Neurospora crassa OR74A: one gene and its partners. The protein of the gene in region 3 purifies or fractionates together with the protein of the main gene of each other region. This does not show direct contact. Links are inferred from orthologs where the notes say so. Each region holds a gene or a part of one and is shown on either strand. Other genes may lie near its edges.

Region 1 (4,137 bases), on a different chromosome or scaffold from region 3:
AGTCTGTGAGGCGACGAGGCATACGAGACTACCTCTACTCTAGAAGTTCAATCTGTATTGGGTAAAAGTATACCTCTACCGTGCCTCTACATCTGTAACCCTTGGACGGTGACGGCGACGGTTTCTCGTTCTTCCCTCATCGCGGAGTCAAACAACGGACCGTGGGGAGAAAAGGGTGATATGGATAAGTACCATGGAACAAAGGACCAACTTCACCCGAAAGGACTGGAAACAATGTGTGATTACACATGAACGAGTACAACACTCGTCCGCAGTTAATTTCCCAAAACCTAAAAAAAGGTACAAACAAATACGATTACGAAAACAGAGAATCACCGATTCCACAACTCTCCGTGTTACATACCGTTCCTTCTCCTTCCTCCGCTCTTACTCCTAGCAATATGCGCCGTCAGACGCTTCTTGGTATCCACCAAACTCCTCTTATGCTTCGCCCTCGCCTTACCAACCGTCATTAGGAAGTTCTTCTTTCTCGCCTTCTCCTTGTTCGTCGACGACTTGCCCTCAGCCTCCTTCTTGGATTTCCTGATTGCCTGCGTCGACTTGTGCTCCTCACGCGCAGGCTTGCCATCCTTGGCCATGGCCACCCGCTCCTCCTTGGTGCTCTTCTTGCCAATCTGGGCAGGCAACTCAATGTCGTCGGCGGTAACACCGTCTTCGATGTGCTTGGCGATAAGTTCTTGTCTCCTCTTGGAGACGGTGCCTGTCATCTTGTCTAATTGGGCCTCCCGGCGGAGCTCTGCCAGTTTGGCGAGGTCGGCGGGCGTGAGGATAGTGGTCATGGCGAGCTTGGAAATGCGGTTGGCTTCGGCGGCGGCGGCCATGGCTTCGTCGGAGATGAGATCAGGAGCCGTTGAGCTGTCGCGACGCTGCTTCTTGGCTGCAGGCCCTTCGTCCTCGTCATCGGAGTGCTCAACGTTGATCCACCCGGTTGAAGAGTCAGAATCGTTGGAGGCGACTTCCCACTCGTCGGAATTGAACCCATCTTCGTCATCATCATCATCCTTCATCTTAGCGTCTCCATCAGCATCCTCACCCTTCTCAGCGAGTTTCTTGAGTTTCTGCTCCTCCTTGTACTTCTCGAGAAGCTCGATACCCTCAATACCGCTCTCCACTTGCTCTTCACCAAACTTGAGCCTCTTGACCTCACCCGACTTCAATCCCATGGTTGCCTCCTTGCCGCGGAACTTCTTTTGCAGCAGCTCGGGGTAAACTTCACGGTAAAGAGACTGAAGACCCTTGGCGGCCATTACCACGCCCTTGTCCTTGGACTTTTGGTACATGACTAGATCTTGAAGGAGAGTCTCGCTCATGCAGAGCGGTTGGCGCAAAGCGACTTCACGGATAGAGTTGATACCGGCAGAGGCAACTTCGGCGGCAGAAGCCTCCGAGACGAACTCATTGGCGATCTTGACAACGAGAGGTTCGATGGCGTCGGGAGGAACGTGGTTGTGTGTCGCCTGCGCCAAAGAAGCGAGGAATGAAGTGACGGACGGTTGCTTGGGCGTCAAGTACTTGGTGAACCACGGATACAAGGAAATGATGGTGAGCTTGTGCAGACCGACCAGACGGGTGACGAGCTGGAGGACCAGTAGCTTGTTGTCGAGGGAGAACTTGCACTTGGTATTCTGCAGGTGTTTCTGGAAAAGCTGCTCGGCGAAGCCTTGAGGATCGTGAATGAGGTGGAGAGCCGAGAAGTTCAGCGGATGAGGGGCATGCTTCTTGCGCTCCTGCTTCTTAATCTTTTCCATGGCCTTCTCCATGGCCTTTTGGCGCTTCTTGGTCTTCTTGTTGATAGTGCCCTGATGCTTGACCTTCTTAATGTCAATCTCCTCGTCACTAGAGTCGTCCTCCATCTCCTCGCGCTCCTTGTCGCCACCCAAGAAGAAGCGGACACCACCAACGACGACCTTTTCGTTGTCGGACAAACAGGCCTCCTTCATGACGTCGCAGGGCCGGGCGTCGGTCCAGATCTGGCGGCGCCACAGCTCGCGGGTGATGCGGCAGGCCCACATGCCTTTGGTCGAAGTGCGGTCCGAGGTAACGAGGTTGTGCAAGACAGTTTGGATGGTGCGGTTGAGCTTGTGGTTGGTGGCCTTGGAGTTGGACTCGCGCAGGTCGCTGACGATCTTGGTATACAGGAGGGAGCGGAGAGACTTGGAGGGCGTCGAGATTAAAATGGGGAAGAGGGTGGTAAGCAGGCTGGTCGAGTCGATGACATCCTTGCGACGGAGGAGAGACAAGCTGCCAACAACCTTTTCGCGAAGATCGGGGTTGAGAACGGCATGGTGTTGAGTCAAGAGCTCCTTAAGGTGGTCGAAGTAGGGGGCAGTGACATCGGGGTACAGATCGGCGACGTGCGCGACGAGGTCAACGAGATCGTGGAATTTCTTGTTATCTTCGCTGGAGGCGGAGGAAGGGGACGAGATGAAGATTTGCCGTTGGGCGTCGTATGCGAGCCATTGGTCGTAAAACTCTTGGGCATAGGATCTGGAGGAGGAGGCCAGGGTGTTAGTAAACAGAAGCGACTGACGACGAGGGCAGCAATTGGCGACGACGACGACGACGACGACGACAACAACAAGAACAACTCACTTGGGATCCCTCCTGATCTTGTACTGCAAACTGACCAGGTCAGCGTCGACCTTCTCGAGGGCGGCCACCTTTCTCTTGGGCATCTTGGCGGCTGGAGCGGGAAGGACGGTATTCTGAGTGATGTTGAGATCGATGCGAGTCGCAACGAGAGTGCAAGCCGGTTCCCTCTGCTCTGTTCAGTTCCAGTCCTCTGGCACAATCCTCAACCCTCGCTTTGCCTGGAGCTTCAGCGGTCCAGAATTTTTTGGGAAATTGATTCCTTATCGGATCCTTATCAGCTGCGCCAGTGGAGTTGGTGGACGTTCCAGGCGGGGAGGACCCTGGACAGCGCGGCATTCTGTACCCCACTTGAACTGTGCCCTTTTAAATTTTCTTTTTCTGCCGCGCTTTTTCTTGGATTTCTTTTCCCTTTTGCTTTCCACAAATCACCATTTACTTGGGCGATTGACGGCAGCAACTGCTCCCCGCGGTTTGCTATTCCCATTCCGGCGATGATGCATTCCTCATCCGCCACTTGAACTTGGACAACCGAGACGATTGGCATATGCTGTCTTTCGTTTCGTCCTTCATCTCCCAACAACATGCGGCTCTTCCTCGTTCGACACGGAGAGACCGTCGACAACGTGGCCGGTTTATAGTACGTTCAATCCAGCAGACCATGTCCACAGGACAATTGGCTGACCTTCCCCAGCGCAGGCATTCGTGACTCCCCCCTCACCACCCACGGTGTCTTGCAGGCACGTCGTCTAGCCTCGCACTTTGCCTCGCGGTCGTCCTCAATTGGTCCTGTCACGCACATCTTCTCTTCCGATCTGCAGCGCGCAGTCAGTACTGCCCAGGCCATTGTGGACGCCCAGGTGACGAAGGCAACGGAGAAGGAAGATACGGACCATTCCAAGCTCCAACTAGTACAGGTTGTCGAGCTTCGCGAACGCGATTTCCGATCTGCCGAGGGGAAGCGCTTTGGCACACCGCATTCCGATGCCGAAACGCATGACGAGATGCGCGCGCGAGCCACCGATTTCGTACAAGCCCACCTGGATCCGCTGCTGGACAGTATCTCCAATGGTGATAACTGCAAGACCAACACCTCCGTCGTGGTTGTCGCGCATGGCTTGATACTCAACTCGCTCTTGAGATCACTTTTGGCGCGTTATGCCCCAGAAGAGATGACGAGGCTTGCCAACGCAAAGCTGTCGTCGGGTTCTGTTGCCGGAAGGTCAGAATTTCTCGCTGCTTGGAGCAACACTGGATATCTCGAGATGAAGGTGGATGCCATCGCCTCGTCTGAGGAAACCGAGAAGTCGACTGCTCAGTTGACTGTCGTCCGGGTCAACGTCCTTGACCACCTCCACGGCCTGAAAAGGACCAGGGGTGGCATTGGCAGTGCCAAGTTTGACAGTAAACAGAAGACGATGGATTCGTTCTTCAAACCCGCTGCCAAAAAGCGACGGGTTGATTGACCGGTGTCAGCAATTGGTATGTTCCTGCCTCCTTTCTTCATTTACACCACACACCCTGCCT
Region 2 (4,416 bases), on a different chromosome or scaffold from region 3:
GCTTCCTACGACTTCACCCTTTCGGTCTCCAAATCTCTACAGTCAGGACGACCACCACTGACTTTCACTTCGCTCTGAGCAGGGGTGACACCCACCAGTCCTCGATTCCACTGCGCATTTTCTCTTCTATCCTATCTATTATGTCACATGCTTCACTCCACCCGCAGCGGTTTTTCGGTTACAGGGGTGGAATGGAGCCTAGGGCTGTCTGCTAGGCATCGCGCGGAAGCTTCACCCTTCACGCCTATTATACCACGGTATACCACGGAGTCCCGAGTGCCGATGGCTTCCATATGACTATCTGACGAATCAGTTCTATTCAGTTCACTCACTTTGTCTTGAATCGTCATCGCCTCAATCCCTTCGGTTTTTTCTTATTCTGTTGGGTTGTTGCTGCTTTCAACCCGCCCAGCGCGGGCATTAACATGGGCTCACAGCCAGATCGAGGCGAGTGTTCTGCCTCATGACAAGCAACGGTCACAGAGGTTGGTGAGAGCAGGCACGTTGCCATAAGTTCCAGGGATTACGAGTACGATTTGATGATCATCTTGGAGGATGAACACCTACATGTAAGAAGATATAAAGTGCTCTTCCTCGCTGCCTGAGAACAAAGTCTTTTTTTCTTTCCTCGAAGTAGACCTATGCACACCACCTTACTTACCATGCTACCTCTATCCATCATCTTTACCTACTGAGTTTCCCGCTGGAGTAGCGTACACTATATACGACAGTCGGATAGTACATTTCATCATGAGCACATATTACAGCGGCGGTGCTGGCAACACCGGTAGCGGCAATGGCTCAAATGGCGCGGCGGTCGGCCCCACATCGGGAGCCGGGGATCTACCCGCACCGGCCCAAGCTCCGAAGTGGGTCTTGCCATGGTTTCTTTTTATCTTTTTCCCAATCCTAGAATCCCGTCGTACGTCGGCATCCCTTTGGTAGTTGGCTGTTGAGCTACAAACATAATCCAAAGGCTTCCATATTACAGGCGGAATGGCAAAAGTAGTTATCTAATGCATCTTGTGTCACCAGAAGAAGAGAGTACGGCTCCATGATGAACAGATACATCCACGACACTACCACCCAAGTATCGGATCGGGTTTCGGGGCATCAGGACCCGATCAGCAACGACCGTCATAGGCTGGAGGTATTGCAGAGAGTGGAAAGACGGAGATGTGAGGCTGAGAGGTTGGCGAGGATTGCGAGAGGGAATTGAAGAGTGGTGAAGAAGGCACACAATTACTGTGTGCATCTTTGCACGATTTACGTTGTTTGAAGCGTTCATGTTGGGAGCTTACATAGTTCGTTGTGAATTGAACCTCAGTCACCACTGAAAACAGACAGCTCGGTCTGCTCAAGCGCAGACAGCTGGCAGACACTGCGCCAGTTGAAATGTCGTAACGTGAAAGCTTGGCACGGCTGCGACGAGTTTTTGGAGTAAGGTCACGGACCACAACAACCAGCGGCAGATTGGCAAAGGCTCACCCAAGGCTCCGAATCACACTATCTGAGCAACATTTCAAGACACTCTGCAACACCACGCCAGCCTCGGAAAAGCGTGCAAATCTGCTGTGAAGATGCTCAGGCCTTCATTGCCAAAGACTCTGACGGCTTTTGGCCCGCCTTAACCAGCTGGGTGGCCGGCCCGGACAGTGCCCGTCGCGGATCTCTGCATGGCTTCAAACCAGAAAGGTGCTCTCAACGTCGGGCAACAGTGAGGTATGCGACTCCCCTTGCATCACATGGACTTGTCCTGGGAGGCCTTTTCTTGGGCCGTTCATTGCGGAGATGTCGGCAAGGTTCTCTGCAAGACCGTGTCAGCCACGGCCCTTGCGAGGCTGAGTTGAGGTCTGGCTATCTGTCTCGAGATGGACCTCACTGGGTCGTCATGGCTGGCTCGAGGCCTTGCTGGCTGGGCCTTTGCCTGGAGCTTCATGATATTGCCAAGCCTCGGAGCTCCCTTCGAATTGGTCAAGTGGTCTGCTTGGCTCGCCGTACCCAAGGTTACCCCAAGGTACCTACCTACCTACCTACACTAACCTACCTACCCTCCCTCTGCGGAGGAGGAAAAAAAAAAAAAAAAAAAAAAAAAAAAAAAATCAGCAACAGCGACAAATCAGCACACACGGCAAGCAAAGCACCCACGGGAGCTGGCTGTTAGCTGACTGAGCTCGAGCTTCCATCCCTTCGCTTAGCTTGGACGTCGGCACCTTCCCTCCTGTACGGACGCATGTCTCAGGCGCGGTTGCGCTCAAACACGGCGGGCAATCACCTGGAAGGACACAACATCAAAGGGCCCATCAGTGGCATGCATCTTCGGCCCTTCTGAATTTTCGAGCGTCTCCTGGCGCCAACTTCAACACCAAACCTCGTCGCGATCATCCTTCCGGCCAAAACACCACTTTTCCATCCGCCAACCCCGCTTCATCCACTTCCACCAGTTCCACGCAAATCCCGCGCCGTTGCCCCGTCAATATCAACATCCAGCATCGTCACGACCACCGGTTTTATTCTCGACACTACGTCCATCCGCCCATCCCGCGCACAACCATCCCACCCCGTTCAATCCCTTCAAACAAACAAACAAACACAATGGCTGGCGGAAAGGGCAAGTCGTCTGGCGGCAAGAGCTCGGGTGGAAAGACCTCGGGCGTCGAAGGTCCCAAGAAGCAGCAGAGCCATTCTGCTCGCGCTGGTCTTCAGGTACGTTTTTATAGTTGACGAGCTTCATGGCTCTGTCCGCTTTCAATTCCTGCTCCGATCTGCACCATCGACGTCGTCTCATCAACCAACTTTTTTTTTGCTCGCATCCGCCATCCCTGTCGTCAGATGTCGATGGAATCACGCCGATACACCACAACGCGTCCACCGAGCCCCCTACATTTCCGGACAACCCCATAGTGCCAACCTACGAAGAACGCGAACTCGCTGCCTCACACGTCGGTCGCACACAACCCCGCCGCTGGGTAAAAGAAAAAAACCCCCATTGCGCCCCGTACGCGATACTATTTCGGCTTCATATGGACGCGTTGTTCTGTGCATCCTTCTCTCGCCCTGGCCCCGCACCCGGACCTTGTTCCGGTCCCTAACTTTGGATTTCTCGCTCTGACAACGAGGCGGAGCTGCGGCGTGCATTTCCGTCCTCTGGAGTTTGCCGTGTGTCTGATGCGCCATGCTGACTTGAATCTAATTAGTTCCCTTGCGGTCGTGTCAAGCGTTTCCTGAAGCAGAACACCCAAAACAAGATGCGCGTTGGCGCCAAGGCTGCCGTCTATGTTACTGCCGTGCTGGAATATTTGACTGCTGAAGTCCTCGAACTTGCGGGTGTAAGTCATTCATACCCCATCCGCTCGGCCATATTGCTTGGCGACGAGGAGGCTCCCATTTCCAAGTTTTACCTGCTTTATGGCTAACTCAATGATTTCCGTTGTATAGAACGCTGCCAAGGACCTGAAGGTCAAGCGTATTACTCCCCGCCATCTTCAGCTTGCCATCCGTGGAGATGAGGAGCTTGATACCCTCATCCGCGCCACTATCGCCTTCGGTGGTGTCCTCCCCCACATTAACCGCGCCCTTCTGCTCAAGGTAGAGCAGAAGAAGAAGGCCAAGGCTCAGGAGGCTTAAGTCCACAACTGCACCGAAAAACTCGACGTCGCACACGTTTCGCACACTGTCTTGCATCTCTCTAGCCCCGCTCCGGGCTGACGGGCAGGACAGCAATCGGCTTGTTCAAGGGATGTCACGGGGTGATGCCGGGGGGGTTGGGGATTGTCTTCGCTAATCCAACACTAACGCCGCTGTATTGTTGGGTATTTTCTTCCTATTATTTGTTGTTGGGATACGCACACGGGCTTGGGGCCCACCGAACCATGGCTTGAAAAAGCCGAGCACTCCCGGTGTCTGCGACGGCAACAAGCGCAGCGCATAGACGACGGCGAACTTCCCTTGCGACACTTCCAGCAGAGTGGTGCGTTCGGAACACACACGAAAAGCGAAGCGTTCTGTATCATCCAGACGTGGAAGCCGCTTGGGTGGCGATGAGCAGGGAGACCATTCACTGTATAATGTCATCTTGGAGTGCACCACACACTGGGAACGGCGAGCAATCTCCCCTCGTCACGGCGCGGCGTGCGACAGCAGCTCTTTTACGATATCTGTAACAACATGAATCTTCTTTATCGTTTTTTTTATAGTACGACTCGGCCATGAGGGCTTAGCGAGGAAAACATCAGGACACGTTAAATGAACGTGTCGGTTGGTACTGGTTGCAGGTAGTGGCGGAATAAAGGCTACAAGGAAGAGCCTTGAAAATTTGCGATACCAATTCTTATTATGTTCTCTCTACAGTCTGGGATGCGCAATTCTATTCATGGTGACTACAATGTGTTCAGTCTCACCATCTGCTGTTTCGGA
Region 3 (4,441 bases):
CTTCCCGTCTTCTTGCCCGGGCTCCTCTTTTTTTTCCACCTCAGGAGAAGAAGGACTCGCAAGAATCGAGCTGACTGTCCGCACAATGTATAGGAAACTGCCACAGCGACCTGACATGGCTTTGTTGTCCCCTTGACTTTGTCCGAGCCAGTATGTTTTCATGTAGACAGCTTTCACTCGATTCAGCGCAGATGGTCTCTTATTTCTCCTCGTGTCCCGAGCACTGAATAGTGTAACAACTTCCCGGGTTCCATTATTTAGTTTACTTCCAAGTCTCGAGGTACTTACTACCTACCTTCAAACTCGACCGGGAGCCGCCAAGCTTGCGTGTCAGTAGAGACATCGCCAACTAAATTTCCAGAAGCCCAGCTCCCATCCTTCAGGCCTTCCAGGCACGCACTGCCTCAGCTCGGCGACTCTTTCGTCCGTTGAGGTTTACTCTATCTACATCACGCGAGGCTAACAAGGGTCATGACGATTTACATCCATCTGAGAACTCCTTGGAGAAGTCATCCGCCCCTGGTGTCGTGGCCTAATGAACTTGACAGTCAGACAGTCTACATCGAGTCACGCTGTTGGATGACGGTTTGTGATGTAGAAACACCTGCAATGCTGTACTATGAAATCAACACCTAAATCCTCCTAGAATCACTGCTTTTGTCCCGTATAATATCATCCCTTTACGCACAAATCGACCCTTGTTCCGGTTTAGTTCGCATATCTGCTCCCATCCTTGCGCTCTGACGTGCCACTGCTTCAGGGGTCAGGACGAACTATCCTGCTAAGACTTATGAGAGACAACCACAGCGTCAAGGCAGGTGCTGAAGCCAACTCCTCATGTGACCAATTCAAATTCTGTAGAATGGTTATCGATCCACCACAAGCTCCGGCCATCCGCACACTCCTGTTCTTCCTGAGCCCACGGCCACCCCGGTGCGGTCATGCATGACCCTCAATAATTTGGAACTCAGACGCCAAATGTCATTGGGCGTTCTGCCCCTTGCCTGCGTGGTATAGTGGTATCATTTTCGTGTTCATTCAGCGATCAGCGTTTAGCTCTGCTTGCACTCAGCAGCCTCCTGCTTGGGCTTGCTGCCGTCCTCCTGTGAAATTTGTCAGCATACCTGCAGAGCATAGCATGTGTTGGGGAAAATTCAGAAAGTCTTACATCGTCTTCATCGCTCTCATCCTCGTCATCCTGGTCCTCGCTGGCATCTTCATCATCCTCATCATCCTCATCATCGAACTCGGCGTCCTCGAAGTCCTCCTCATCGAGCTCCTCAAAGGCGAGGGCCTCGCCAGTGAACCAGTCGATGGCGCGGGGAATAAGCTTCTCCTTGATATCCTCACCGAGCTGGTAGTCGAGCTCAAGACGCTCCTCAATATCGGAGGTGGTAGACTCGTCGTCATCAGTGGGGGCCTTAGGGGGGGAGAAGAAGTTGAAGAAAGACTCGGTAGGAACGGTCTTCTTGACGATGCGGGTCTGCTTGGTGGCTGTGCAATTTGTTAGTGAGCAAGTTTGAGAAAATTCAAGCTGGAACTGCAACTCACTCTTGTTGCGTTGCTTCTTCTGCTCAACGCGGACAGTAAGATCCTTGTCCTCCTTCCAGTTGATCTTGTCACCCTCGGCGTGATCGTAGATAAAGTCGCCACCATAGCCGCTCTCGTTCTGGTAGTAGTAGGTCTTGGTGATAGTCTTGTTGGTGAAGTACTCGTTCTCAGCGAACTCGAAGATGAGGCGGAATCCGGGCTTGTCAAGGTACTCCATGCGGATGTCGGTAAGGGACTTGAGGGCCTCCTCGTCGCGGTCGGTGATCATCTCGGCGAGGGAGATCTGGTTCTTCATGGCAGAGAGCCAGAACTCGGGGATACCAGAGACCTTCTCGGCAGACTCGGTAGCCTTCTCCTCCTGGGGGGCGGCCTCGGTCTCCTCATCCTCCTCCTCCTCATCCTCCTCACCGGCCTGGACCTGGTCCTCAGTGGGCTCAGTCTGGCCGTTGACAATGGCGGCACGCTGTTGGTAAAGAGGAGTGAACTTGGCAAAGTACTTCTTCTCGAGCTGGAGGACCTCCTCCTGGAACTCGGCCTCGAGCTTGGAGTGCTCCTTCTGAATGCCCTTCAGGCCAGCGACACGACGCTTGACATCGGTAGGGAGAGACTCAATGTAGCCGGACGAACGACCGACAAGAGAGCCGAGACGACCCTGGATAAGGGACACAAGTCTAGGGTCCTTGGCGAAGATGGAAGCGGCGGCGGCACGGTCAAGATCCTCTGCAACGAACAGTAAGTTTAGCGACAAGCCCAGAAAACTACCAAATAGTCTCAGCAGCAGCAAGAATCTTCACTCACCCTCCTTGATGCTGGCAACACCGGGCTGCTGAGCGTGCGACGAGATGGGGGCAGTGTTAAGAGGAGTGTTCTGGGGGGTGCTGAAGCGAAGGCTGGTCAGTAACGGTACGCGATACTCGGGATGGGCATCCCATCAAGTCTGGGGATGAAAACTCACGGAGCGATGGGGGGATCAGCCCGCTTGTTTCTGATGGGCTCGGCCATTGTGTCTGGTTCTGGTCAAGAGAAGGAAATGAGTTGGGATACAGAGAAGGAAGCGGTGGTAGAACCCTGCGACCGACGTACAGTGGATGTCGGAGGGAGAAATGGGAGAAGGAAGGGCAAATTTGGATTGAAGAAGCGGTCGGGTGTAGAGATTGATGAAGGGGCCCCGGTGCTGGTGGGAAAGGCAAAAAGTTCTGTGGTTGCCGGTCGGTCCAGGCAGAGAAGGCTTGTTGTGCAGCAGTGCAAGAAATGTTGAGCGAGGGTCGGGTCTGGAGGGGACCGGGAGGGGAGAAAAGCTATCAATGGGGTTGCTATGAAAATTTGCGGGGCACTGGCCAGTGCGGGCAGGACAGTCGGGTCGAGGGCACTGCAGCGGGAGGCGCCCCGTTGGACCACTCCATGATGCCTGCACTGCGCCGGCGACCACCCAGCCCCAGTCCGCTACTTCCATTTGCTGCCCATGAGTCTTGTCGCTTGCCCTACACCACCACCTAGAGGTATTTGACCTTCAATTCTATTCCAGCATAGGCAAGGTGCCCATTGTCATGGGTCACGTCTTTTTAGGGTCAAGCTCCTCCTGTCACTTGTTTGACTCTACACTCGGCCATTGCATGCCCGGTCTGCTCGTCTGAACTGAAAATCCCCTCAGGTACCTACGCCTAGCCAGATGAACCTAAACATGCCATTGTTGTTCTTATCGTACAAAGCCCGTTCATGTACATCGCATTCAGGTAGTGTATTTCCAGGTTGCCCGTCGCGCGTCGCTTCCTGGCACCACATGCTTCAGCATTTGGCTGGCGTGTCTTGCGTGCTAGCGTTCTCTCCAGGGATCCCGGCCAGAGACATGATGTAGGGTAAATGATATTGGTGACATGCCGGCTTCATATACACAAGTTACAAGGTACCTCATAGGTGCAAGATAGTTTAGAAGTTGCTTTTCGTCTGAACTGCGAGCTGCTAATATTGGACGGGTGTTTACATCTCGCCTTCTCACCGGCGTCGGGCTGCGGTGATTTGCTTCTAACGTTTAGGGTCTCTCAACTCAATTAGGCCTCCAGAGCCGGGCAGGTTTTGGAAGGCAAACTTGAAAATTCTGCTGATTCACTCTGTCCTCAGCAAGTCAAAACCTCATCAGCAGAGGCAACTTGACGCACACTTTTCTGCTTATGACTTCGATTATGAGTCGACGCTGGGTTCAGCGACCATCATCGGACCGATCTGAACCATCATGGCCGTAGACCGTCGTGGGCGTCCAACCTAAGTCCAGGTGAGATGCTGCAGTGACCCCAGTACACGACGTACGGGCACGTATGGAGCACGTTCTCTCACGTTGTGGTGTAGTGAGACCGCTCGCGGCATCTGCCAAGTGATCATCGCGATGCCCACGAATCTCCATCGCCAACTGAAGCCGACAAGGTTTGGGCCAGAATGACCCTTGTTGCACTGTGCTTATCGTAAAAATCGTGGATAGCGACCCCCATCTCCGCCATCGACCTTTCTGGCTAGAGGTATGTAAGTAGGCAAGCGTTAGCGGACATGCTTGGCATTCGATTGGCGGGCAGTGTTGAAAGAAAAATCCCATGCCTGTGACTGCCCCACTTGCTGACTGCCCGTTGGGACGGTCTGGCCCCGATCCTTCTCCGTGACTCCGGCGTCCAGGTCAACAAATGTGAAGAAGTCAGACAAGAGGATTCTAGCTGGAGTCCATCATTCCCATCTCCAGTCATCGTGCGGAAAGCCTGATCCACTCACTTGAATGTACAAGATGGTAAGGGAAGTATCGTGGAAGTTATCCATGCGATCGCAAGAAGCCCTACTGCATACAGTTGTCCTTCGCTTCCATATTTAGTATGAACCTTGATGTCTTGTTTTGTGTAACCATGTAGTC

What was found.
Region 1: the proteins of naf-1 (region 3) and NCU09488 purify together in Saccharomyces cerevisiae (affinity purification with mass spectrometry; 6 studies listed by BioGRID, with this or other methods). This does not show direct contact. The link is inferred for Neurospora crassa OR74A from reciprocal best matches to the Saccharomyces cerevisiae genes NAP1 and SDA1.
Region 2: the proteins of naf-1 (region 3) and hH2Az purify together in Saccharomyces cerevisiae (affinity purification with mass spectrometry; 13 studies listed by BioGRID, with this or other methods). This does not show direct contact. The link is inferred for Neurospora crassa OR74A from reciprocal best matches to the Saccharomyces cerevisiae genes NAP1 and HTZ1.

What each region holds. Positions count from the first base shown.
Region 1 is NC_026502.1:4,439,217-4,443,353, forward strand, and holds NCU09488 (SDA1 domain-containing protein), read right to left. Parts: upstream 2,827-4,137; 5' UTR 2,697-2,826; coding exon 2,614-2,696; intron 2,509-2,613; coding exon 357-2,508; 3' UTR 226-356; downstream 1-225. Other genes in the region: NCU09489 (phosphoglycerate mutase), read left to right, coding at 3,195-3,250, 3,305-4,076.
Region 2 is NC_026502.1:1,389,884-1,394,299, reverse strand, and holds the start of hH2Az (histone H2A.Z), read left to right. Parts: upstream 1-1,476; 5' UTR 1,477-2,595; coding exon 2,596-2,706; intron 2,707-3,197; coding exon 3,198-3,329; intron 3,330-3,438; coding exon 3,439-3,627; 3' UTR 3,628-4,416. UniProt on the Saccharomyces cerevisiae protein: Variant histone H2A which can replace H2A in some nucleosomes. Nucleosomes wrap and compact DNA into chromatin, limiting DNA accessibility to the cellular machineries which require DNA as a template.
Region 3 is NC_026505.1:4,745,823-4,750,263, forward strand, and holds naf-1 (nucleosome assembly protein), read right to left. Parts: upstream 2,828-4,441; 5' UTR 2,554-2,827; coding exon 2,507-2,553; intron 2,430-2,506; coding exon 2,350-2,429; intron 2,272-2,349; coding exon 1,552-2,271; intron 1,495-1,551; coding exon 1,169-1,494; intron 1,104-1,168; coding exon 1,053-1,103; 3' UTR 349-1,052; downstream 1-348. UniProt on the Saccharomyces cerevisiae protein: Acidic protein, which assembles histones into an octamer (in vitro). Involved in the regulation of the localization and the function of the septins during mitosis. Involved in the function of B-type cyclins.